Arabidopsis thaliana: one gene and its partners. The protein of the gene in region 4 purifies or fractionates together with the protein of the main gene of each other region. This does not show direct contact. Each region holds a gene or a part of one and is shown on either strand. Other genes may lie near its edges. The genes, in order: MPPalpha, MPPBETA, AT1G51980 and PPR40.

The links.
Region 1: the proteins of PPR40 (region 4) and MPPalpha fractionate together in Arabidopsis thaliana (co-fractionation; one study listed by BioGRID). This does not show direct contact.
Region 2: the proteins of PPR40 (region 4) and MPPBETA fractionate together in Arabidopsis thaliana (co-fractionation; one study listed by BioGRID). This does not show direct contact.
Region 3: the proteins of PPR40 (region 4) and AT1G51980 fractionate together in Arabidopsis thaliana (co-fractionation; one study listed by BioGRID). This does not show direct contact.

Annotation. Positions count from the first base shown.
Region 1 is NC_003074.8:5,597,737-5,603,565, reverse strand, and holds MPPalpha (mitochondrial processing peptidase alpha subunit), read right to left. Parts: upstream 3,857-5,829; 5' UTR 3,661-3,856; coding exon 3,622-3,660; intron 3,333-3,621; coding exon 3,099-3,332; intron 3,017-3,098; coding exon 2,720-3,016; intron 2,634-2,719; coding exon 2,466-2,633; intron 2,355-2,465; coding exon 2,187-2,354; intron 2,098-2,186; coding exon 2,020-2,097; intron 1,947-2,019; coding exon 1,880-1,946; intron 1,759-1,879; coding exon 1,661-1,758; intron 1,572-1,660; coding exon 1,502-1,571; intron 1,413-1,501; coding exon 1,342-1,412; intron 1,257-1,341; coding exon 1,207-1,256; intron 1,114-1,206; coding exon 1,001-1,113; intron 897-1,000; coding exon 850-896; 3' UTR 539-849; downstream 1-538.
Region 2 is NC_003074.8:363,877-369,441, forward strand, and holds MPPBETA (Insulinase (Peptidase family M16) protein), read left to right. Parts: upstream 1-1,672; 5' UTR 1,673-1,747; coding exon 1,748-2,419; intron 2,420-2,911; coding exon 2,912-3,076; intron 3,077-3,166; coding exon 3,167-3,304; intron 3,305-3,383; coding exon 3,384-3,535; intron 3,536-3,627; coding exon 3,628-3,736; intron 3,737-3,862; coding exon 3,863-3,961; intron 3,962-4,126; coding exon 4,127-4,192; intron 4,193-4,343; coding exon 4,344-4,455; intron 4,456-4,563; coding exon 4,564-4,658; 3' UTR 4,659-4,963; downstream 4,964-5,565. Other genes in the region: AT3G02080 (Ribosomal protein S19e family protein), read right to left, coding at 262-334, 439-622, 708-798, 1,202-1,285; AT3G02100 (UDP-Glycosyltransferase superfamily protein), read right to left, coding at 4,964-5,411, 5,510-5,565. UniProt on the Arabidopsis thaliana protein: Catalytic subunit of the essential mitochondrial processing protease (MPP), which cleaves the mitochondrial sequence off newly imported precursors proteins. Preferentially, cleaves after an arginine at position P2.
Region 3 is NC_003070.9:19,322,555-19,328,722, forward strand, and holds AT1G51980 (Insulinase (Peptidase family M16) protein), read right to left. Parts: upstream 4,365-6,168; 5' UTR 4,218-4,364; coding exon 4,179-4,217; intron 3,869-4,178; coding exon 3,623-3,868; intron 3,546-3,622; coding exon 3,249-3,545; intron 3,155-3,248; coding exon 2,987-3,154; intron 2,885-2,986; coding exon 2,717-2,884; intron 2,615-2,716; coding exon 2,537-2,614; intron 2,432-2,536; coding exon 2,365-2,431; intron 2,239-2,364; coding exon 2,141-2,238; intron 1,907-2,140; coding exon 1,837-1,906; intron 1,738-1,836; coding exon 1,667-1,737; intron 1,547-1,666; coding exon 1,497-1,546; intron 1,387-1,496; coding exon 1,274-1,386; intron 1,185-1,273; coding exon 1,138-1,184; 3' UTR 501-1,137; downstream 1-500. UniProt on the Arabidopsis thaliana protein: Substrate recognition and binding subunit of the essential mitochondrial processing protease (MPP), which cleaves the mitochondrial sequence off newly imported precursors proteins.
Region 4 is NC_003074.8:5,767,473-5,772,404, forward strand, and holds PPR40 (pentatricopeptide (PPR) domain protein 40), read right to left. Parts: upstream 2,965-4,932; 5' UTR 2,909-2,964; coding exon 929-2,908; 3' UTR 505-928; downstream 1-504. Other genes in the region: AT3G16880 (F-box and associated interaction domains-containing protein), read left to right, coding at 1-358; AT3G16895 (Cysteine-rich protein), read right to left, coding at 3,550-3,716, 3,960-4,044; AT3G16900 (LURP-one-like protein (DUF567)), read left to right, coding at 4,634-4,852. UniProt on the Arabidopsis thaliana protein: Required for the ubiquinol-cytochrome c oxidoreductase activity of mitochondrial complex III.

The DNA of each region.
Region 1 (5,829 bases), 170 kb from region 4:
TGATTTTTCAAAATCTTTTTGTAATGTTTCTATATCTAATCATTTTTAAAAACCACCAGGGAATATGATTGGTTCATGCCGATACGTGTTTACGTCATCATATTCGTTCTTCTGAAAGTAGAAATAATTAAAATACACATCAACTGCTTTTGATAAGCTCTAATTTACCTCGTAATCCGCCAAAAAGATTCCCTAATAGCCTTTTTAATTAAGGTTTTCTGTGATTAAACACCTTCATCATAGGCTGTCAAAAAAAAAATAACACCTTCATTTTAGACTTTAGGAGTGTGTATGTAAATTATGCTTTCACATTTCGAAATAACTATGGTAAATTGATCTAATTCTAGTAGTAATTTATTGTGGATCTATCTTATATCTGGTTGAGAGTTTAAGATACTTTTAAGGCAATTATTTGTCTGATGGAGTCGTTTCTATTATTTAGATCCATTTATTCAATAATCCTTTTATTAACAAAATATTAAAGCATTTAAGAGTTCATAAAATTAATAATTTGGAAAATATTTTATGTAGTAGTAGACTTCTATCTATCTTTAATGCCTATGTTTGCCAGCATTCTTTAACAAGAAAGAAATTTAAAAATTGAAGCTGAAAAAAGTTGGTAAACGTATCAATCATTATTCACTAACCGAAGAGAAGAAATACGCAACAACGAAATTGGAGACATGGGCGTAATTTGTCACCATTTTCATGGACTTATCTTAGGTCAGAAACTTGAGAGATAGATGAAACAAAAAATTTGGTTGGATCTCCAAAAAAAAGGCTATCTTTATTCTACAGGTCCCAACTCTATCTTATGATGTAAAAAGATCTTTTTTACTTCTTCACTCTTCAGCGAAATCTTTTGCTTACGGAGTCATAGCTTGGAACATTCAACACTGTCCCAAAATCAACACAAGATTTTAGAATAAGTAAAATGGATTTAAGTTTGCAATGCCGTTTTATAAAAGATGTAAAACTGTGATGATGGTTTTGTCATTACCGTCTCCGAAAGTTGCCATTGTCAAAGGCTTTGTGATAACCTTGCTAGTGAAATCTGCAATGTCCTTTAAGGTAAGTTGGTCTACTGTCTTCAAGAATTGGTCTACTGGTTTCCTGCAGATATGTTGGGAAAACAAAAAAAAAAACAGTTAGAGAAAAGTCTGGTTATAATCAGTTTAGAAGTGGAATGTTACAAAGTGTATGTACCTCTCTCCGTAAGTAAGAATCTGTCTACCAATGTCTTCTGCTGCAATCATCTGCAAATCACACAAACAGTTAAATTCCATTATAAAGTCACCCTCATGGCTTAAGAAAAAGAGGTGGAACTTTTAAGTGACCTACCCGAGATTCCAGATTCATCAGAATCGCAGATTTTGTTGCTGCTTTGGCGCGATCAAGATGTTTCTGATTAACTGCCAAAGCATGTACACCAGAGTAAATAATATGTCTGTATGAGTTGATAAATGGTTCTAAAAAAGAATGGATGAAATATATAGAAAACCTTTTCCATCAGCAACAGCGTTCATTTCACTAGCTACTAATTCAATTCCCTGTGAAGCAAATTCAGGACTCTGCAACGCCAAAAGAATGTAAGCAAACCCACATTGCAAAGTGCTAAAAACCGTTAATAAGCAACAACTAGAAATCGGTGCAAACTCACCGTGCAACCATAGATTCCAAACAATCCGGTATTGTTAAAGACGCTAGTGAATGCAGTGCATGATTGAAACTGCTGATGTTGGTTCAAAAGGCGAAGATCTGCATCCAGACAATAAAGAAACCAATCTCATCATCATCATGACCAACAAATAACTAACTTACATTAAAACATGAGTGTTGAAAAACCGCAAGTAGAAAGAGAACACATTCAGAGACTTACAGAGCCAAGAGTGCATTCCTTTTCCAGGGCCTCCCGCAGAAAATGAGCCACCTCCTCCCATAAGCATCTGATAAGAATTGGATTTTACACAATTAAGTCTTTGCGTTTGAAAGATCAAGTAATGTATTTGAGTCAGGCACCTGAAGAACAGTTGCAATGATAGCTTCCTTCTCGTTATTCCATCCTGGCACTTCAAAAGCAAGCGCAAAATGTGTAGCCTGAGAATGGTGAAACAAAAAAAGAAAGATATTAGGAATAATAAACCTTCTTTTACTCAAAGAAGCCCATTGAAACGTCATATTTGTACCTCTCCACCCGTATGTTGACGGAAATCTCCACCGACATATTGAGACTTTGGCTCCGCAGGTCGGGGTACATTAGGGAGGTCAGATAGTAATGGCTCAACCACTTTTAGAAGTTCTTCATGATCAACTCCACTAGCTGCTAGGACCATTCGTGAAGCAGTGTAATTCTCCTGAAATTTCAGAACAAAATGAGAAAAAAGACACATCTACGAAATAACAAACCAAAAGCCAGTGATACTAGTTCCAGCGAATGCAATAATCTCTTGTGTTAACGGTCTTACAAAAACAAAATTCTCCAAGACCTCCCCAGTCAATCCAGTAATTGCAGATTCAGGTGCATACAATGGATTTGCCAATGCGCCAGAGTAACCAGCAGAATGAACTGCCTCCAAAAGAAAACCCATTGGATTCGTTGCGAATTCTCCTATCTCTACTTTCACCTTTCGGAGCTGCCAGGAGAAAAATGATGAAAACAGTGTAAAAAAATTGCTTAGCTTTAATGTTTGTGAGATACATGCAACATGACATGAAGTACCTCTTCATTCACTTCCCAATCCAAAAAAGCAGGGTTCCTCACACTATCAATAAGCACTTCAACCATTTCGGGAACATAGGTTTTGAGAGCATCAATTGTGTAACCCATCTGCTCTCGGGATGCAGAAGCTGAAGTATTACCTCCAATAGCCTCTATTTCCCTTACAAGGCGAAAATGGCTTCTGTTCAATGTACTCTTGAATGCCATCCTTTCAAGCAAGTGCGTCGCTCCACGGAATTGAGGAGTCTCATAAATAGAACCACAGTCAACGTATAAACCAATGGAAGCTGCTGGATTCTGAACAAAATTTCACTCAAAATCACTTTCCAGTAGTTTTTAACAGGAAGTTGATGTTGGGATTACTAAAAGAAGCTCTCACCGGAGACATCTCAGTGGCTATAGTCAGACCATTTGGAAGAGTAGTGGTCTTAAGTTTGCTAGGCTCAACATGGTCAGAGAGTGGTGGTGGAAGAGAGACACCAGCCAAGGGAATGTTCATAGAAGGAAGTGAACTAGAGTAGCCTCCACTTAGCCAGCTGGAGGAAGAAGAGCTCGTTGCAACAGCACTAGAACTTGCATAACGAGAAGCTCGAAAATTGTGGTTTAGAATGCCCTATAAACACACACACACACACACACATCCTAAGCATCATTAATCTCTTGATTCAATTAACATTGTAAAAATAAGAACTTTCGAAACAGAGACATTTCATAAACCTGCAAAAAGCATGAATAATGGCACCAGCTACTATAAAGCGATAAAATTGAATCAAGATCTATAAGAATCTAAGAGACCCTTTAATCCAAATCCAAAAACAATGAATCATACAAATTGTTCAATACTAAGCATTCTCCTAAAAAAACCAGAATCTCAATGGAAACAAGTGAAGTAGGACATTGACCTTAAGGGCCTTGGCTCGAGAAGCTGCCGTACGGTACATGATGATGACTGCGAAACCCTAGCTTGGTCAGATGAGTACCGGTGAATGTGGCTGACGACGGGAGAGAGATAGAGGCCGAGTCAGAGCTGAAAAGAAACGAGAGAAGGGAACGATTTTTTTTCCTAATTAAGGTTATTGGATCGGGCAATTGCTTCTAATTACATTGATAGGCCCATATGATATAATAGTCTTGGCCCAAATTATAACATATAGAAAAGATGAATTTAAAGCCCATGTATTGTAGTGGTGTGATCCTATTATATTTTCTCTCAATTATATTTTTTTTCTTTTCTTTTTCACGTACCATTGTGTAAAAATTCAAGTAAGGTAACGACATTTACATGCAGTCACAAATGAAACAAGAATTTTTTTGAGGTGTGTGTAAAGTGAAACGAAAAAAGTACTAAGAAAGTTTATCTTCTCTAAGTTAATAGAATTATTTTGAAACGTAGTATCCACATATATAGAAGACTCGTGTGTGGTGCATATATATACTGCATAACTTCAATTGAACTGTATTATATAACTATGACTATCCATCCATGGGAAGATAAGAATGAGAGCCGAATGCTAAAAAGCAAGGGACCCGAATTAAACAAAAATGAATAAAGGAGAAAGGTTTGTGTGATTTTGTCAATTGTCGTCGTTTAGTGGATGTGTAAAAATACTAAATACTATAACAGGTGGTGTGGGTCTATCTTTTTTTTTTTTTGGTCTAATGTTAAATGTGGGTCTATCTTAATAATGCAGAAATAGTGCAATACGATTCATGAGTGGAAAAAATCATATTTGGGTACTCTCATATATAGTCTCATTAATCATTATCACCGAGTGGGGCGTACGATACACTTTTTCTTCTTTATCTGTTTTCATCTAATCATCATACTGTATGTCTATATTATCGTAGCATTCATCATCGAGTTATGAAACTTATGCCAAAAGAAAAGAAAAAAAAATCATTTGAGATTGGTTAAATTTCTATTTTAAGATTTAAACCAAAATGTTTAAAGTTCTATAAGCTCTAATTAAAGTCTCTGCAGTCCATTAAAATGGATAATTAGGATTTGCCGAACTTGAAAGGAGTAATGCACATTTTGATGCTCACGTGAACAACGAGTTGTAACGGTTTCGCTATAATTGGAGGCAGATGAGAAATGGTCGTGTGTGAGTTTTAATACCACGTGATTAACGGAGCCACAATCATATTCATGGGCCATTCTCATGAGCTATAATTTGAGGTGTAGCTGAGAGATGGTCAAATGCCACGAACTTTGAGTATTTCTTTCTTAACTTTGCATTTTTTTAGACGTAAGTTTTTTTTTTCATAGCCTACATTTCTTTGACAACTCATAACCTACATTTTGAGAATTTATAAATGTCAATTTATCATTTAACCTTCTCACGATAATGCAATTCCTATGGTAAATGTCAACTCATAACAGACTCTACGAAGAATCTACGACACTGTGAAAATCTCTAATCCAATATTCAAAAGAGAGTTAAAAAAAAAAAAAAAAAACAGAAGAGAACATCTTTACGATGCTGCTTTCACGATTTTAAAATTTTAGGTGATTTTTTTTGGAATTTTGGAATTCTCTTTACAAATTTTATGTTGTAAGGTAGATTCAATTTTAAAAAAAAAAAGATATTTAGATTAATACAAGTTCCTAAGTCCTAACTAATCAAAGCTTCCATCCCTCGTGAAGCACGAGTTGGTTGAATATAAAGTCTCTCAAAAAGAAAAGAAAAAGTGGTTAGTATTGGCAGAAAAAAAAAGTGGTTAGTATTGGATGAAAAGAGAATTTAATGTTCGTATTCAAAAATGTTTTATATATACTATATAGTATATATACAAAATCCCAAGATTAACTCATTCATATTCCATCTTCATCTCCATTTCTCACACTCAAAGGTGTTTCTTCCTTCCCTTTAATGTACTCCTTTTTTCTTTCTTTCACAAAATCGTTATATTGATTTTTACTAGTTTTATTTGAATTATTGAATTTCTTTATATGATAATGAATCTATGAGAATATGATACCATTGTTTAAAGTAATGTCCTAGTGGAAGTATTATAGTCCTCAGATTAGATTAGTTTCATCATCATGAAAGTGCTTGAGTAGTGTCTGTTCATGGCTCTTGTGCGTTTACAGTTTCTAAGAAATGGGT
Region 2 (5,565 bases), 5.4 Mb from region 4:
TAGTGGCACTAAAGAAGGATGAAATTAGCAATTTAGGGATGAAGAAACCATATCCTATTATCCTTAAATCGGACGAACACAAAAATACGGTTGAAGACATAAGTTTCAATGTCCAAAGCCATCGCCAAAAAGATAAATTTTTGAACATTATGAGCGCAAGTCTTGAGAATGAAATGGTAACAATTCTTAAAAGTAAAGATAAACACTAAAAGCACAATGGCCTCAAAAGTAGAAGAAGAACAAAAAAGAACATTAAGATCTTCAAGGTTCAACTGCAATACGGCCAGCAACCTGGTCCAAATCCCTTTGGCCACTGGAAGTGATCCTTCTTCCTCTGAAAGAAGAACAAAAGTGATACTAGTATTAGCATAAAAACATTTTTAAAGAGAAACACCTCTAACGTAGTAGTAGTAGTAGTAGTAGTAGTAGTAATGTTACCCTTTGGTGTCGAGCTCAACAATGTTCATTGTCTCCAGCTGTTGGAGGATGTGACGGGCAATACCACCACTGCTTTTGCAAAAGTGAGGTGGGCGACTACCGTTCCTCTTGCTTCCACCATAGATTCTACGGAAAGCACCAACACCAAGTCCTCCCCTCAGGTAAACCTTCCTTGCCATAGATGCTGCACAAGAAGTCATTTTGCTAATTGAAAACTTTATAAACGCATAGAGATAATAAGAGACAAACTAGGATGAAAGAGAACTAACCAGCTCTGATGTAGTACCAATCAGGATCATATGGTGCAAGCTCCTTCAACTTTCCGGTCTTCACAATGTCTGTCCATGTGGGAAGCTCGATCTGAAACAAACAATTATGGTCTCGTGAAAACCAAAACAATTGTAAAAAGTGGAGCTTGACATTCAAGCTATTGTAATTGCTAGTGTAAATTAATTCAACAGACGTAACAAAGCAAATCACAATATTAATCCCAAGCATTTGAATCTTAAGCTGTCTATTAACAAATACTAAGAGTAACACTTGTGATTCAATAAATATTAGCAACATATACAAAATTTCAATACATTCAACAGACATTACACAATTCAAAGTATTATAGAGAAATGCCAACAATCAACAGAAATATCTATGAACTAATGGAAATCATTGCAATTTGAGCTTAATCCATCTTTATTCGAGTACATACAAATAAAGCTTGGAACATTTCTACTCAAACAAAAAAGAAGAGACTTTATCCACTAACCTTGCCAGATCGCTTGAGATGAGAAGCATAAGCCTTGACGAAGTCATGAGGCGAGACGTCTTTCACAGTTTTACCAGTTGCCATGGCTCAAGTTATCAAAAGACTAATCACTGATCTTCGTCTGGGATTTTGCCCAACGCAGCTGAATCTCTCTCCGCAAAGACTAGGGTTTTTATTCTCCAATAACAAAACTTATATATACGGCCACGATATTTCGATTAGGGTTTTCTCCCCATATCCGGGTCAAAAAATCCAACCCGTTCTCAGCCCACACTAATGGGCCTAATTCTTCATACGGCCTTACTATCTAACCAGTATGAATAATGTTCTTTGATACGATAATGCGCCTACTACGGCCTTATTATATCAGTTGACTAGTATTATGTCCTAAACGACACCGTTCTTAATTAGTAACATTAAATGACGTCGTTTTATAATCGCTTAACCACTGGCTATTAGTTCGCATCTCAAGTCGTCTCTGCCATTTTTGGCTTTTTAATCAAACCCTAGAGAGATTGAGAGAGCGAAGAGAAGCCATCATCAGCCATGGCGATGAAGAATCTACTGTCCCTAGCTCGCCGATCTCAGAGGCGTTTATTCCTCACTCAAGCCACACGATCTTCCTCTTCGTTTTCAGCTATCGATTCGGTGCCGGCTTCCGCATCTCCGACGGCTCTATCTCCACCGCCGCCGCATCTTATGCCATACGACCACGCGGCTGAGATTATAAAAAATAAGATCAAGAAGCTCGAGAATCCTGATAAGAGGTTCCTTAAATACGCATCTCCACATCCGATCCTCGCTTCCCACAATCACATCTTGTCAGCTCCGGAGACTCGTGTCACTACCTTGCCCAATGGTCTACGAGTCGCTACTGAGTCAAATCTCTCGGCTAAGACCGCCACCGTTGGAGTCTGGATCGACGCTGGATCTCGGTTTGAGTCCGATGAGACCAACGGAACGGCTCATTTTTTGGAGCATATGATATTCAAAGGCACGGATAGGCGTACAGTGAGAGCGTTGGAGGAAGAGATCGAAGATATTGGTGGTCACCTGAACGCGTATACATCGAGGGAACAGACCACTTATTATGCTAAGGTTTTGGATTCCAATGTGAACCAGGCTTTGGATGTCTTGGCTGATATCCTACAGAATTCTAAGTTCGAGGAACAGAGAATTAACCGCGAACGAGATGTCATCCTCAGGGAAATGCAAGAGGTATGTATTTGTTATCTCTGTACTTAAAAAACTAAACTTTTTGTTCTGTCCTCGATTTATCTTTCGTTTTTTTTTAGTGAGGTGGTACTATGGACCGTAGTTTGTGTTTTTTTAGATCAATACCCTTAGTTTCAGTTTCCCGTGTGCCTGCCTAAAAATGAAAACTTTAGTATGTTCTTAAGTTATCTTCCCTTTTTTTAAGGTTGTATTGGCATAAGCACATGTTCTATAGAGAGATGTTATTGTGTTTATATAAACCATTGCTCTAAAAATGAAAACTTTGTTCTGTTTTTGGATTATCTCTCGCATGTTTTGGTTTTATTGGCTTAGTCATATGTTGGTCGTATTGTTGTTGGGAAATGTGCATGAAGGGAGATACTAGAGCGCTTGGTACTCTGCTCTACGTGTTGGTTAGAGTTATTTGTTTCTTTAATCAGTTAAAGATAGAATACACATTAAGCTTTAGTTTTTTGATAATTGGTTTGGTCGTAGGTGGAGGGACAAACCGATGAAGTGGTTCTTGACCATTTACATGCCACTGCATTCCAATACACACCCCTTGGAAGAACTATTTTGGGACCTGCTCAGAACGTCAAATCGATCACCAGAGAGGATCTACAGAACTACATTAAGACTCACTACACTGCTTCCAGGATGGTATAGATTTTGGTTACTTCTTATCATTTCCTACAATCACTTATTGAATTTTTTAGGATTCTTATCTTGGTTCATCCAAAACATTTTCAGGTGATTGCTGCTGCAGGAGCTGTTAAGCATGAGGAAGTTGTTGAGCAAGTGAAGAAGCTATTTACCAAGTTGTCGTCTGATCCAACAACTACTTCTCAACTGGTTGCCAATGAACCTGCTAGTTTTACTGGTTCTGAGGTAAGGACACAACCATATGATTTTGTTATATGCAATGTTCCATCTTTCTAAATTCTTTAGTCCGTGAAATTCTTCTCAGGTCCGAATGATTGATGACGACCTACCCCTTGCACAATTTGCTGTTGCCTTTGAGGGAGCATCTTGGACTGATCCAGATTCCGTTGCTCTTATGGTTATGCAAACTATGTTGGGTTCGTGGAACAAAAATGTTGGTGGTGGAAAACACGTGGGGTGAGTTTACTCTCTGGCTAATATTTCTAATGATGGATTTAATGAAAAGCTATTTCGCAATGTGTTGATGAACATTATGGTTCTATGTGCAGTTCTGACCTGACCCAGAGGGTTGCCATTAATGAAATAGCAGAAAGCATAATGGCATTCAACACTAACTACAAGGATACTGGACTGTTCGGCGTTTATGCAGTTGCCAAGGTCAACCCAGAACTCCATAGCTATCTTAGTTTCATCTCTTTCTTGTATTTGTCAATATTAGCAGTTTCATCTCATGAATGCCTCGTATTATATCTCTTTTAACATCTTGTAAGGTACTTTTTTCAGGCCGATTGCTTGGATGATTTATCATATGCCATTATGTATGAGGTAACCAAGCTGGCCTACCGAGTTTCAGACGCTGATGTGACACGTGCACGAAATCAGGTAAACGCCCAACTGTTCTTTCTCTCTTTCCCAAGATTCAGCTTTAAGCTAGTTACAAATGTGATCTGTTTAAAGTTTTTTTTTTCTTTTCCTCCTGTTTCTTCGAACTCCTTACTTATTTGTAGATAGATTTTAAATGCCAACTGATTTTAAATTTCTCTGCAGCTGAAATCATCATTGTTACTTCACATGGATGGAACCAGCCCAATTGCTGAAGATATTGGTCGTCAGGTATGCGATGAATCATTTAAGCATCTTAATTTAGAACTTATAAGTTTATAAATGCATTGGTCAAAGATAACAAACCTTGACTTTCCTTATAGTTGGTGTTTATCTTCAAAATCATTCTAATAAAACGCCTGGATTTTTGTTCTAAATGCAGCTGCTGACCTATGGGCGTAGAATCCCAACCGCTGAACTCTTTGCTAGGATCGATGCTGTTGATGCCAGCACGGTAAAACGTGTTGCCAACAAATATATCTATGACAAAGTAAGTTCTATTTCTCTCTCCCTCTTGCTCTCTCTATCCTCCAAGGATTAGACTGCTAAACAAGAGTACAAACGTCAAGAGTGATTAAGGTGATTTTTGGGATTATGTGCAGGACATTGCAATCTCAGCTATTGGTCCAATCCAAGATTTGCCAGACTACAACAAATTCAGACGCAGAACCTACTGGAACCGGTACTAAGGCTCTGAAATAAAGGTCACTGAATCGCAAGGTTCGCCCACGGGGAGATTCCGTAGGCGGAGAGAGCAGAACGAGGTGATGATGGATTCATTATTTTTGAGTTTTTCTTACTGTATCTTCATAATTTACCATCATCGCTGGTAAAATAAGTGTACCATTTACTCTTTGTCCTCTACTGGAAAAATGCTAGAGATCCTCTGTGTGTGTTTTTTTTGTTCTCTTCATAATTTTCCCATACACATACTAATAAGTTCTTTGATGTTTGGTTGAAAACTTGAATTGGATACATTTCATTTCTTCTTGTGAAACTCTATCAATTCACTTGTGATTTGATCCAGTTGACAAATTTATTAAGATTCTCACAAGATATTCCATCTTTTGCAACACTTTTCATCACAATCTCTTTAACCTTCATAGCTCGTTCTTCATACTCTCCACCGTCTCTCATGATCTCATCGATCTTCTTCTTAACCTCTAACCTCGGAACCACTCCTCGTGCGTCTCTTTCAAGTCCTAATCCAATCTTCCACACATCGCATATATATGCTTTGTTGATAAATTGGTCTGCAAAATAAGGGATGCATAGAAATGGTATGCCATTTTGGGCTCCTTCCAGAGTTGAATTCCATCCACAATGGCTCACAAAACACCCAATGGCTCCAGAAGAAAGGACCTCCCGTTGTGGAGCCCATCTCACCACTTTGACTCGATCCGACCCAAGTTTGATTGGTTGTTGATCACCAGTGACCCACAAAACTGGCCTGGTGAATGGATCAACATAACTTATTACATAATAGACACGCATAGAGTAAGTAGGGTAAACCGGAACACACAAACCCGGTTATGTCCAAATCATTACCTCTTGGTAAGCTCTAGACCAATTGCTAGCTCTTCTAACTGAGGGTTGCCCATGAC
Region 3 (6,168 bases), on a different chromosome or scaffold from region 4:
TCAAGGATTCAACAGTTTAAGGATTCAACCCGTTCCTATAAATCATAAAACCACAAAATATCCCAAACTGACGATTTCTACTCGTTTCTCTTGGAATTGTGTAGAAGATGACGAAGCGTGGTCGCATTTTGCTCCCAAGGTTACTCTAATTCATCGAAAAAATCGAATTATCGAACCTATTTCTCCCAAGTAAATTATCTGGCTTTTGTTTTGTTTTTTTTTCTTCCTTAAAATTTGTGTCTTTGCGACCAAAGTAAGCCACTTTTAGAAGAGAAAGTTAGAGCTTCGACGTTGCGTGACTTTGCAAGCTGGTCTTTTTAATTAAGACAAAAAGCACTGATTTCGTGTGTTTTTTTACATTACAATTTCTATTCATTTTTAAATTATCCATCGTTCGAAGTTTACAATTATCCCAAAAAAATAACACTTTCTAAAAACATAAACGAAAGTTTATAACTGTAAAGTGTTGAAGTTGTAGATGATCGAACTCTTTACAGTGCTATGCTTGCTCATCCCTCTCCTACCACCATGAACAAACTTGGAATCCCGGAACTCTCGCTTCTTACTGTTCCTCCTCGTCCCATTTTGCCTTCCTTTGCCTCCTCCTGATCAATCCCCGCAAGACACGCTTAGTCTTTTCTTACCTTCTCCTCCCTGGAAACTCTTTCCATTCTCCAAATCCAAGTTTAATTCATTCTGCTTTATCGCTAAAACCGCACTGCATTAAGAAGCCGAGACTTCACTTTCTCCAAGCAGCTATCTGATTTCACTATCTCCGCAAAGTAACCCCGTTCCTTACGTCTACTCAACATTCTCCGGTAACATATATGCAAAATTGAGAACACTTGCATAAAAACTGACACAGTTCTAATTGTACCACTGAAGTTGTTTGCATTACACGTAGTAAAAGATTATTTATTGGAATACAAATACTCCTGAAAATTGGAGAGACAAACCGGACAAAATCCAGTCATTTATATCTGTCGATGGAAACAAAATCCATTTCATAAAAATACGAAACTGTAATTGTAAAAAAAAAAATTAAAATTAAAATTGGTTGGGTCTTCTTCTCCCCAAGATCTTCTTTATTTTACAAGTCCCAAAATATTGTTGATTTGGCAAATTGTTTGTTTTGCTTCAACGAAATTTGCTGCTTATTGTGTCATAGCTCGGAACAGCCAACACTGCCAAAAACAAAAACACGATAAACAATATTAAGACACTAGATCTTGGTTTGTAAAAGATTGATAAGAAAAAAGTGAAAGTTGTTTACCATCTCCAAAGGAACCCATTGTCAAAGGCTTTGAAATAACCTTGCTGGTGAAGTCTGCAATGTCTTTCAAGGTTAGTTGGTCTACTGACTTCAAGAATTGATCAACTGGTTTCCTGCAAGATTTTGTAAAAACCACAAATTATGATGTGTCTGGAATTGAAGAAAACTATGGAGATCTAGTGAACTTCTTCGGGTTTTCAAATGAAGTTCTGCGTATACATACCTCTCTCCGTATGTAAGTATCTGTCTACCAATGTCTTCTGCTGCAATCATCTGGCACAGGAAAACCGTTTGAACACATTCATAACATATAATGGTTTGGATCAAGTTAAACAAATTGGCAACATTTAAGTATTTTTATGTAAGTAGAGGGTGCGAGAGTTAAAAATATACCCGAGATTCCAAATTCATCAGAACTGCAGATTTTGTGGCTGCCTTGGCACGATCAAGATGTGCCTGGTTAACTGTCCAACATAAGAACACAAGGAAAATGTTTCATAGATGTATGAGAATGGTTTCAACTTGTTAGATTAAGTGATAATGGAAGAAACAAAACTGCAAACCTTTTCCTCCTGCAACATCTTTGAGTTCTTTAGCTGCTAATTCAATTGCTTTTGCAGCGAATTGAGGACTCTGCACTCAAAGACACAAATCCCCTATCAGCTAACACATATTACCGAAACACATATCCGGCAATGAATTTTTCAGCTAAAAAAACTTGGACATCACTTTAACCTCAAAGTCAATATTTCTTAAGCTTAACCACAAAAATTGGTATTCCGTTGTTACACATCTCATCAATAGAAAAATGTGGATAAGTAATGAAAGGAAAAACATAGAAAGCGACATCAGGATTGTTGAACTTACCGAGCAACCATAGATTCCAAACAACCCGGTGTCGTTAAAGATGCTAGTGAATGCAGTGCATGACTGAACCTCCTGATATTCGTTTAGAACACGGCGATCTGTAACCAGACATAAGAACTTGTATCACTATTACTGATAGCTTAGCAGTGCGAGAGTATGGTCCGTGAACTAGTTCAATAAACAAAACTAGAATAGGCCAAAAAGAAATACAAGATTTGACTTACAAAGCCACGAGTGCATTCCTTTTCCAGGACCTCCCGCAGAGAATGAGCCACCTCCTCCCATAAGCATCTAATAGCAATTAGATTACATTTTATTACTTTTTCGCCAGTAAAAAAAATTTGATCGAAACAAGTGAAAGTTAAAGCAACCAAAAAGTAAAATTCAATTAGACACCTGGAGAACAGTGGCGGTGACTGCTTCTTTCTCGTTATTCCAGCCAGGCACCTCGAAAGCAACCGCAAAGTGTGTAGCCTGAAAATGGAACAACAAAAGCTCAATAAGAAATGTGACATAGAAACACCTTCATCTCAGACACACTTGTCCAGTGATGGGAAATCTGTCATGAATACCTACCTCTCCACCAGTATGTTGGCGAAAATCTCCACCGACATACTGAGATTTTGGAGCCAATTGGGGTGGTACATTAGGAAGGTCAGAAGTTAATGGCTCAGCAACTTTTAAAAGTTCCTCATGTTCTACTCCACTTGCCGCCAATACCATCCGTGCAGCAGTGAAATTCTCCTGAAATTCCCAGATAAATTGAGTCAAAAAGACAAATAAATAGGATTGTAATTTTGAAATCGCTGAGACGTAGATGGTTCACAAAAGCTCATGCATTCTTACAGTCATAAACTCTTCCAAGAGCTCCCCATTCAATCTATCTAAAGCAGACTCCGGTGCGTACAGAGGACTTGCCAATGGACCAGAGTAACCAGCAGAATGAATGGCCTCCAAGAGGAAACCCATAGGGTTCTTTGCAAGTTCCGCTATCTCTACCTTCATCTTCCGTAGCTGCGGAAAAGATCATCGACACATGGCTAAAAGTCACATAAAAGTTTCAACACAGTTATCAGAATAATACAAAAGGAAAAAAAAAATGATCTACCTCTTCATTCACTTCCCAGTCCAAGAAAGCAGGGTTTCTAACACTGTCAATAAGAACTTCAACCATTTCAGGGACATAGGTCTTAAGAGCATCAATAGTGTAACTCATTTGCTCTCGAGACGCAGAAGCGGATGTGTTGCCTCCAATAGCCTCAATTTCCCTCACAAGACGAAAATGAGTTCTGTTCAACGTGCTCTTGAAAGCCATTCTTTCAAGCAAATGTGTAGCTCCATGGAAATAAGGCGCCTCATAAATAGAACCGCAATCAACATATAAACCAATCGAAGCTGCCGGATTCTGCACACAACATTAACTTTCTTCAGTTCACATTTTCAGGAGTGAAATCAGACATTAAAATTCGTTCTTTTATTTACCGGAGTCGTCTCTGAGGCTATCTTAAGACCATTTGGAAGAGTAGTGATCTGAAGTTTGCTCGGCTCGACTTTATCAGCAAGCGGCGGAGGAAGAGAAACACCTTGTAGAGGCATATCCAATGAAGTAAGCGCAGCACGAGACCCACCACTCAACCAGCTCAAGTAAGCCGGCGTTGACGAACTCGTCTCCGCAACAGCACTAGAACTAGCATAACGCGCTGGTCTCAAACTACGAGTAAGAACTCCCTATATAACACACAATCACAATACATCACATAATAAGAAACCAATCTTTTCTATGGTATCAATCAAAGGACAATAAGAAGAATCATAATCGAAATCATTTCTCTTAAATCGAAAATCAGATGAGTTATAATCTAAACCAATGGATTGACTTTAACCAATCAGAGAAGAGATCATTGTAACCTATAGAAGTAACTACAAACGAAAGAATTTGAATCCAGATCTGTTAATTCACTGAATCGGACCAAATCGTTCCAGAATCTTCCAGGAACAGGATAAAAGGGTAAAATTGTAAAAAGGAATAAGGATGTACCTTAAGAGCCCTGGCTCGTGAAGCTGCCGTGCGATACATGGCGAAGATTGGGTAACCCTAAATCGGAAACTGAGTCGACGACGAAAGAGAGGTTGAGGCTGATGAATAGAGAGAGAGGAGGAGACGGAGGCTTTTTCTCAGTTTATTTACGATTTTGTTTAGTTTAGACTTTAGAATCTAAGTTGCTACGTACTCGGTGATATCTTGCTAACATAGGCCCATAATATGTACTAAAATCTGACCCAATATTGTGTTATGGGCTTGGCCCAATCCTAATATTTATTCAAAGTGGTTTTTAGACTATTTATCAATCTGAACAAATCTAAACTATATAACCTATAGCCAATTTCAACCGTCAAAACATCATCTAATCATCTTTTTCATTAAAAATCTGTTTACTGAAGAATTTTAATAATAATTGAAAATTATCAAAAAATATGTCCATTCTGTATTTACTTAATTAGATTACTGAGTTGGTTTAGTGTGTACTTCAAATATTTTGTTACTAGATTTTAAACCGCGGTATACCGCGAGACGATTTTTTTTTAAAGTAATATATTAAAACTTGCAAATTTTAATTTTATAAAATATTAATATTTTACAGTTTAAAATTGTTATTAGGTAACGTTATACCACGAATCCATGAGACAATTGTTAAAAAACTGAAGTTTTAACCCCTATTAAAACATCATATTAATAATATTTTAATATTTTATAAATATTGATTCAAATACATCCACCATATAACCCAATTCTAAAATAAAATCCGTTATGTAATTTCTTACCCGTCCCATGATTTTTTTTTTAAAGTAGTAATTTTTAAAATTTAAGAATTATTTTTTATATATAAAAGCTTTGCAAATTGTATCATTCTCTAATACATTTATATTTTATAGTTTAATTTTATATATAGTAATATTATACATACCACATAACATTTTTGGTTTTATATAATCTTTTCTAAATTAGGATGATTTGATATGTTTAATATTAGTAGTTTTAAAAAATAATAAATTAAAGATTTAACCCGTATTGAAACGGTGGATTAGTTATATTTTACTTTTTTATTAATGTTGATTCAAAAACCCGTCCCTTCAAATCCGTCTTCCAAAAAGCAATTTATTTTATTAATATTAATTTTATTAATGATATGACTCTGAATTATAATCTAAACATTTTAACTAATAACATAGGAGTGCACCATATTTATTCAATAGGAAAATGTATCATATGACCTGAATGCACTTTTACCCAAATCCACCAAAAAAGCAAATATATTAGTTAGCTTAAATTTGTTAAAGAATACAAATTGAAAAAGTATATTACATTTTATTCGAATATAGTATCAAAACTTATATAACACAGAGATTTGATAATTTTTTAATTGTTGAATACTTTTTGTTTTGCTAATTTTTATGTGATTAAGATTTAATTAATTTCGTATATAAAATATTAAATTATTTTACGAACTTATTTGTTTATAATTTGGTAACAGATAGATATTTGAATATTCAATATATTTTGCTTCAGTTTAGGAAATATTTGATGACCCATCTTTAGATCCAATAAGCCCTATAATCTAGATATTAACCTGCTGTATACCGCAGGTAGACTTATATTTTAGTTAAACTAAAAACTTTTATTGTAAAGATGATTTAAAAATATATGATATTATTTTATTTGATTTTAAATGTATATTAAACTGTGAGTTGTATATGTTTTGTTAATATTATGTATATTGTTTAGTGTTTAAGATTATACACTTGTAGTTTGATTGCTAATTTAAGAGTTTCACCTGTAGTATACCATCTTGTATTAATATCGATCTAAACCCGTCAATTCTAAGATTTTCCAGCTTGTATTAAAAATTGAATCACATCATACATATAAGAAAATCTAATATGTTTTTAATTATTGTAGTATATAAGATTATAAATTTTCAATATAATATGTATGAAATTGAATATAAATATTTCAAATTATGACCCGT
Region 4 (4,932 bases):
TGTTAGAGAAGAGAAACTTGCAGTGTTACTTCACCGCTGCAATATATCAAGGATGGAGATATGGATTACTAACAAGATTGAGCCCAACAATGTGTCGTGGGGAAAGTTGTTCTTAACAGTGGACATGAAACCACTCATTATTGATGATGGAATTTTCTTCATTGACGAGGAGAAGAAAGTAGTTGTGGTTTTTGATAAGGACAAAGAGATGAGAAACCGTATCACAGCTTACATCATTGGAGAGAATGGATACTTCAGAAAAGTGGATCTCGGAGATTCTGAAAGTTTTCCTGTTAGGTGCTCTTATGTACCAAGTTCAGTGGAAATCAAGCAACTGGCAAAAGGCAAAAGCAACTAGTCCATTTACAATACCCAAATATTTGGTTCTTGCATTGTTTAATTACTACTACTCTTGCTTTGTCTTCTTTTCTCAGCTTCCTGATTCCTGAACAATATTGGTCTATTCTTAGTTCGTTTCTCATCTCTTACGTTGAAAAAAAGATTGTTAAGCATACTAGTTTGAGATCGAAACAACAAAATCATTCAATACTCATGTCCAATATAATCTGGCAAAACTGTTGTTTCCTAAACTGTTACACGGTAAGGGTATAAATTAGGGCCAAGGCTATCTAGTGCTAAACATACAAAATCTTTTGCCTTTTGACTGTCAAGTACCAACCAACTGCCATTACTATTGCCGCCACTTTCTCGGACTCAGAAATATATAAAAGCTTTGATCAATCAAAAGAACAAAACTTAATACTCTGTTCTGCATTTTGCACTCATGTTCTGTTTCTCTTCCGTCTGCATCAAAGAGGCAACCCGTGGCAAAGATCGGGTTCTTTCTCAGACATTTCCAAATGAAACGAACCCACTTTTCCGGTTTCTAAGCCTTCATAGGATATTCACACTCTCGAGGATTCAATTTCTATGAGGCTGACACGGTTTCTCTCGAGAGTCCACTTTTTCTTAGGTCAAGTTCTTCAACAAGACGCTTAGTATATGAATCTGGAACACATCCATGTCTTTCGATTGAACTGAACATCTCTCTTGCTTCACTCTCTCTTCCAGATTCACTTAGAGCTTTGATGAGAGTGCTATATGTAAAGTTATCTGGTTTCAAACCAATTCTCAGCATTGTTTTAAGCAATTCCTCAGCCTTCTTAACCTTTCTCATCTTGCAAAAACTCTGAATAGTCGCATTGTACGCATAAAGGTCTGGACTTAACCCGTTTTCCTTCATCTTCGCAAACAGCTTCACTGATCTATCGGTATCTCCGGTGGAACAACAGGAGCGAATCAAGATATTGTATGTGATCTCGTTTGGCTCAATACCCCATTCCAACATCTCCTTGAAACAGTCAAATGCATCTTTAATTTCTTTTGCTCTGCAAAGACAGTTTATGATCAAACTGAAAGTGATCACGTCTGGTTTGAAACCATGTACAAGAAGCTTCTCTAGCACGCCGTGAACCTTCTTTACATCACCCCTCACGCTATAACCGCTCAGAAAGGTATTGAAAGTTACGAGATTCGGAGAAATACCTCTATCCTGCATCTCTGTTAAGAACATAGCTGCATTCTCTATGCGTCGAGCCTTGCAGAGACAGTCAATTACCGCATTATAACTATATACACTTGATAGAAGCCCGTCAACACCCATTTGTTTCAGATACCGGTCACCTTCAGAGAACCTCTGAGCATTCAACAGAGCTTGAACTAACACAAGATAACCATTGAATCCTGGCTTAACTCCACGGCTGACAAAACCGTCAAATATCCTACAAGTCTCAACAAGATCATGCCCTTTTAGGAGACAACTCATCGCAGCATTGAATGTTGAGCTATCCGGAATATAACCTCTCTCACCTATCTTCCTCAAGAATTGACCAGTCTCTTTAGCCATTGAGTTGTTTGAAAGACAATACAACACAGCATCGTAACCAACTCTTTGCAAGTTTGAGTCTTTCTCCATAAACCCAACCAAAACCTCAAACGCTTTACACGGCGGCAAGCAACGGAAAATCCCGTGTACGAAAGTTCTGATTGTAGCTTCATTAGGATTCAACTTTCTCACCCGCATCATCTCCAATTGCTTCAACGCCTCATCAACCCTCCCTGCTATCAAAAACCCGTCGATCAAAATCGTGTATGTGAACACATTGGGTCTATTCCCTTCCTGTTCCATCTGTTTAACCAATCGAATAGCTTCATCAACCACACCCTTCTTGCAAACACCATGTATAAGTATATTATAGGTAAACCGATCCGGTTTACAGCCATCACTACGCATCTGCTGAAACTTGAGGTAAGCCAAATCAAGTGAATTAGACTTCACCAACGCATCAATCACAGCATTATAAAGCCTTGTACTTGGTTTCATTCCAAGAAAAGATATCTGAGCAAAAACATCATTACAGTACTTAGCTAAACCTAATCTTCCCCAGCTTCCGATCAAAACACACATCAATTCATCACTAATCCGATACCCTGAATCTCTAATCTCTTTAAGCAATTCCATAGACAACAATAAGGGGCCTTTACGAAAAAGTGCGTTCCCTAGAACACTCTTCAGAGACTGATCCTTAGCGTAAACCGGGTCGAAGTTGGAGACCCAGAGGTAAAATCGCAGGGAGTGTAATGGGTTGTCTTGATTCTGCAAAACGCTGATGACGAATCGAGTGTTGAGACCAATTCGATGAGTGGTGAATTCTTGATTCAGTATCAAAAACCAATCTTTTCTCTCTATGACTTGCGAAATGTAACGCTGGTTCAGAGGATTGGTGGGTTTACCTGAAGAGTTTAGGGTTTTTGAGAGCTTAGGGTTTACGGATGTGGAAGCGTTTAGTGATTTGGAAGCTGCTGCCGCCGTCGCTATTCTAGATGCTGAAGAAGCAAAGCCTCTCATGTCGTGACCAGAACGGAGCTGAGTGCAAGTGAAACATTGATTTGGTCTCTAACCTCAAGACGATGTTTCCTAAACGACGCTGTTTAATACACCAATATCAATATGTGTTCGAATTTAATAATTTTTTTTTTAGTTTCAGAATAAATTAAGAAAAAGTCATGACCAAAAAGATCATCTCCTTTGAAACAAACAAAAACAAAAGAATTTTGGTTGATCCTAATGACTCTTCCATTGCCACCATGAAAATGAGGGTTTTCATTATAGTTTATCCATCTCTTGATTACTATGAATTTTAATTTTCTTGTAATAATTATATTTCTAAGTGATAATTTTCTAATTTCTATCTTAAATTGTAGCATTGACTAAATATTTCCATCTTCATCTTCAAAAATATATTATGATAATATTAAGTTATTGCTAATGAGAGATGTAATAAAAAGAGTTGTGATGAAGTCATTATTATGCTATTTATGTATGATTAATAATATGTTATAAAAATTACTATTGCAATATATATAGTTTTCTTATATCATTGCATTTATTTATAAGAATAAGATACAAATCAAGTCCAATAACTTAGAGAAAATAAAGGCAACGCTAGAATCATCAATTTTGAGAGAAAATGGATTTATAAGTTTGTATTACTTTTGACAACAACATTTCACTGGACATGGAATACAAGGAGAACCACACTGTCCACCTTTTTGAAAGCCAGCTCTAAGACAGTCCTTATTACATTCATCATTCCAGTAATCTTCGGAACACCTAATATTGCAGTTGTCAAAAGAGAAGCCTTCGATCCTTGCATCTACACAAGTCCACATATATATCAAACATCATCAATACCAACATGTGTAAATTTTATATCATTCCAATAAAAAATAGTTATATAACATGTCCAAATAAAAGTTTTTAACGAAACTTTTGAATTCATGTATAATATATATATAAACAAAAACGTGATCATAACGAATTCCAAATATTTAGATATATAGCCTTTGAAATGATCACTACTAAATTGCAAAATAGCTAAACCAAACTTTGAAAATACCTGAAGCCAAAACGTTGTTGTTAGGCAACGAAACTGCAAGTATTATTACAAGGAAACATGTCACCAAAGTTTTCGTACTACCCATAATAAATTTTTCTATGAACTCTTTTGAGGTATTCAAATGTTTTTATTGTTTAGGATCTTAAGGATTGACTATTTATATATAACTTTTGGTCTTCAGTTTGTTTTATTACAATTAATTGATGATCCATTTTTGTTTCTCAAAGTTTTTTATTTTTGGCAAAAAAAATCATTTACATTTATGAATATATAATTATTTACAATTAATAATCCTAAATGAGAACTTAAAAATTGAAAAAAGTGTGTGACACTTGTGAATATGGTCAAAGGTAATTTGTTGGATATGTTGTCATTATGTTCAATCAATATCTCAAGTTAAATGCGAGATTTTAATTTCATAATTCAATATTGGAAATTTTTTTTTTATAATTAGGTATATTATAAATTTTAACTGATTTCAAAATTGATATTGACAAAACAAATTGAAAGGAAAATTAAATATTATCTGTAAAGTCATTATTGTTTTTGTTAATAAATATTTTTTAGTTTCATAATAAATTAGGAAAAAGTCATGATGACCAAAAAGATCAATAAGTTGAAAGTTGATAAATGTCTTGTTTTTTTTTTAATCATCTTCTTTGAAACAAACAACAATGGCAAAACAAGATCCCACTAGCAGCAACACGATGCTACCACTCGTAGGATCTGAGTTTGTTCGTCCACAGCCGTTAGATCTAACGATAACCGGAGATACAGTGAAGGACGCAACCGGGAACAAAGTGTTCAAAGTCAAAACGCCTCTCTTTGGTCTCCACAACAAAAGAATCTTGGTTGATCCTAATGACTCTCCCATTGTCACCATGAAAATGAAGGTTTTCATTATAGTTACTTGTTATTACCTCTTGATTTTTGTTTAGTTAATCGGTCGGATTTTTCTGAGTTGAATTTTCTT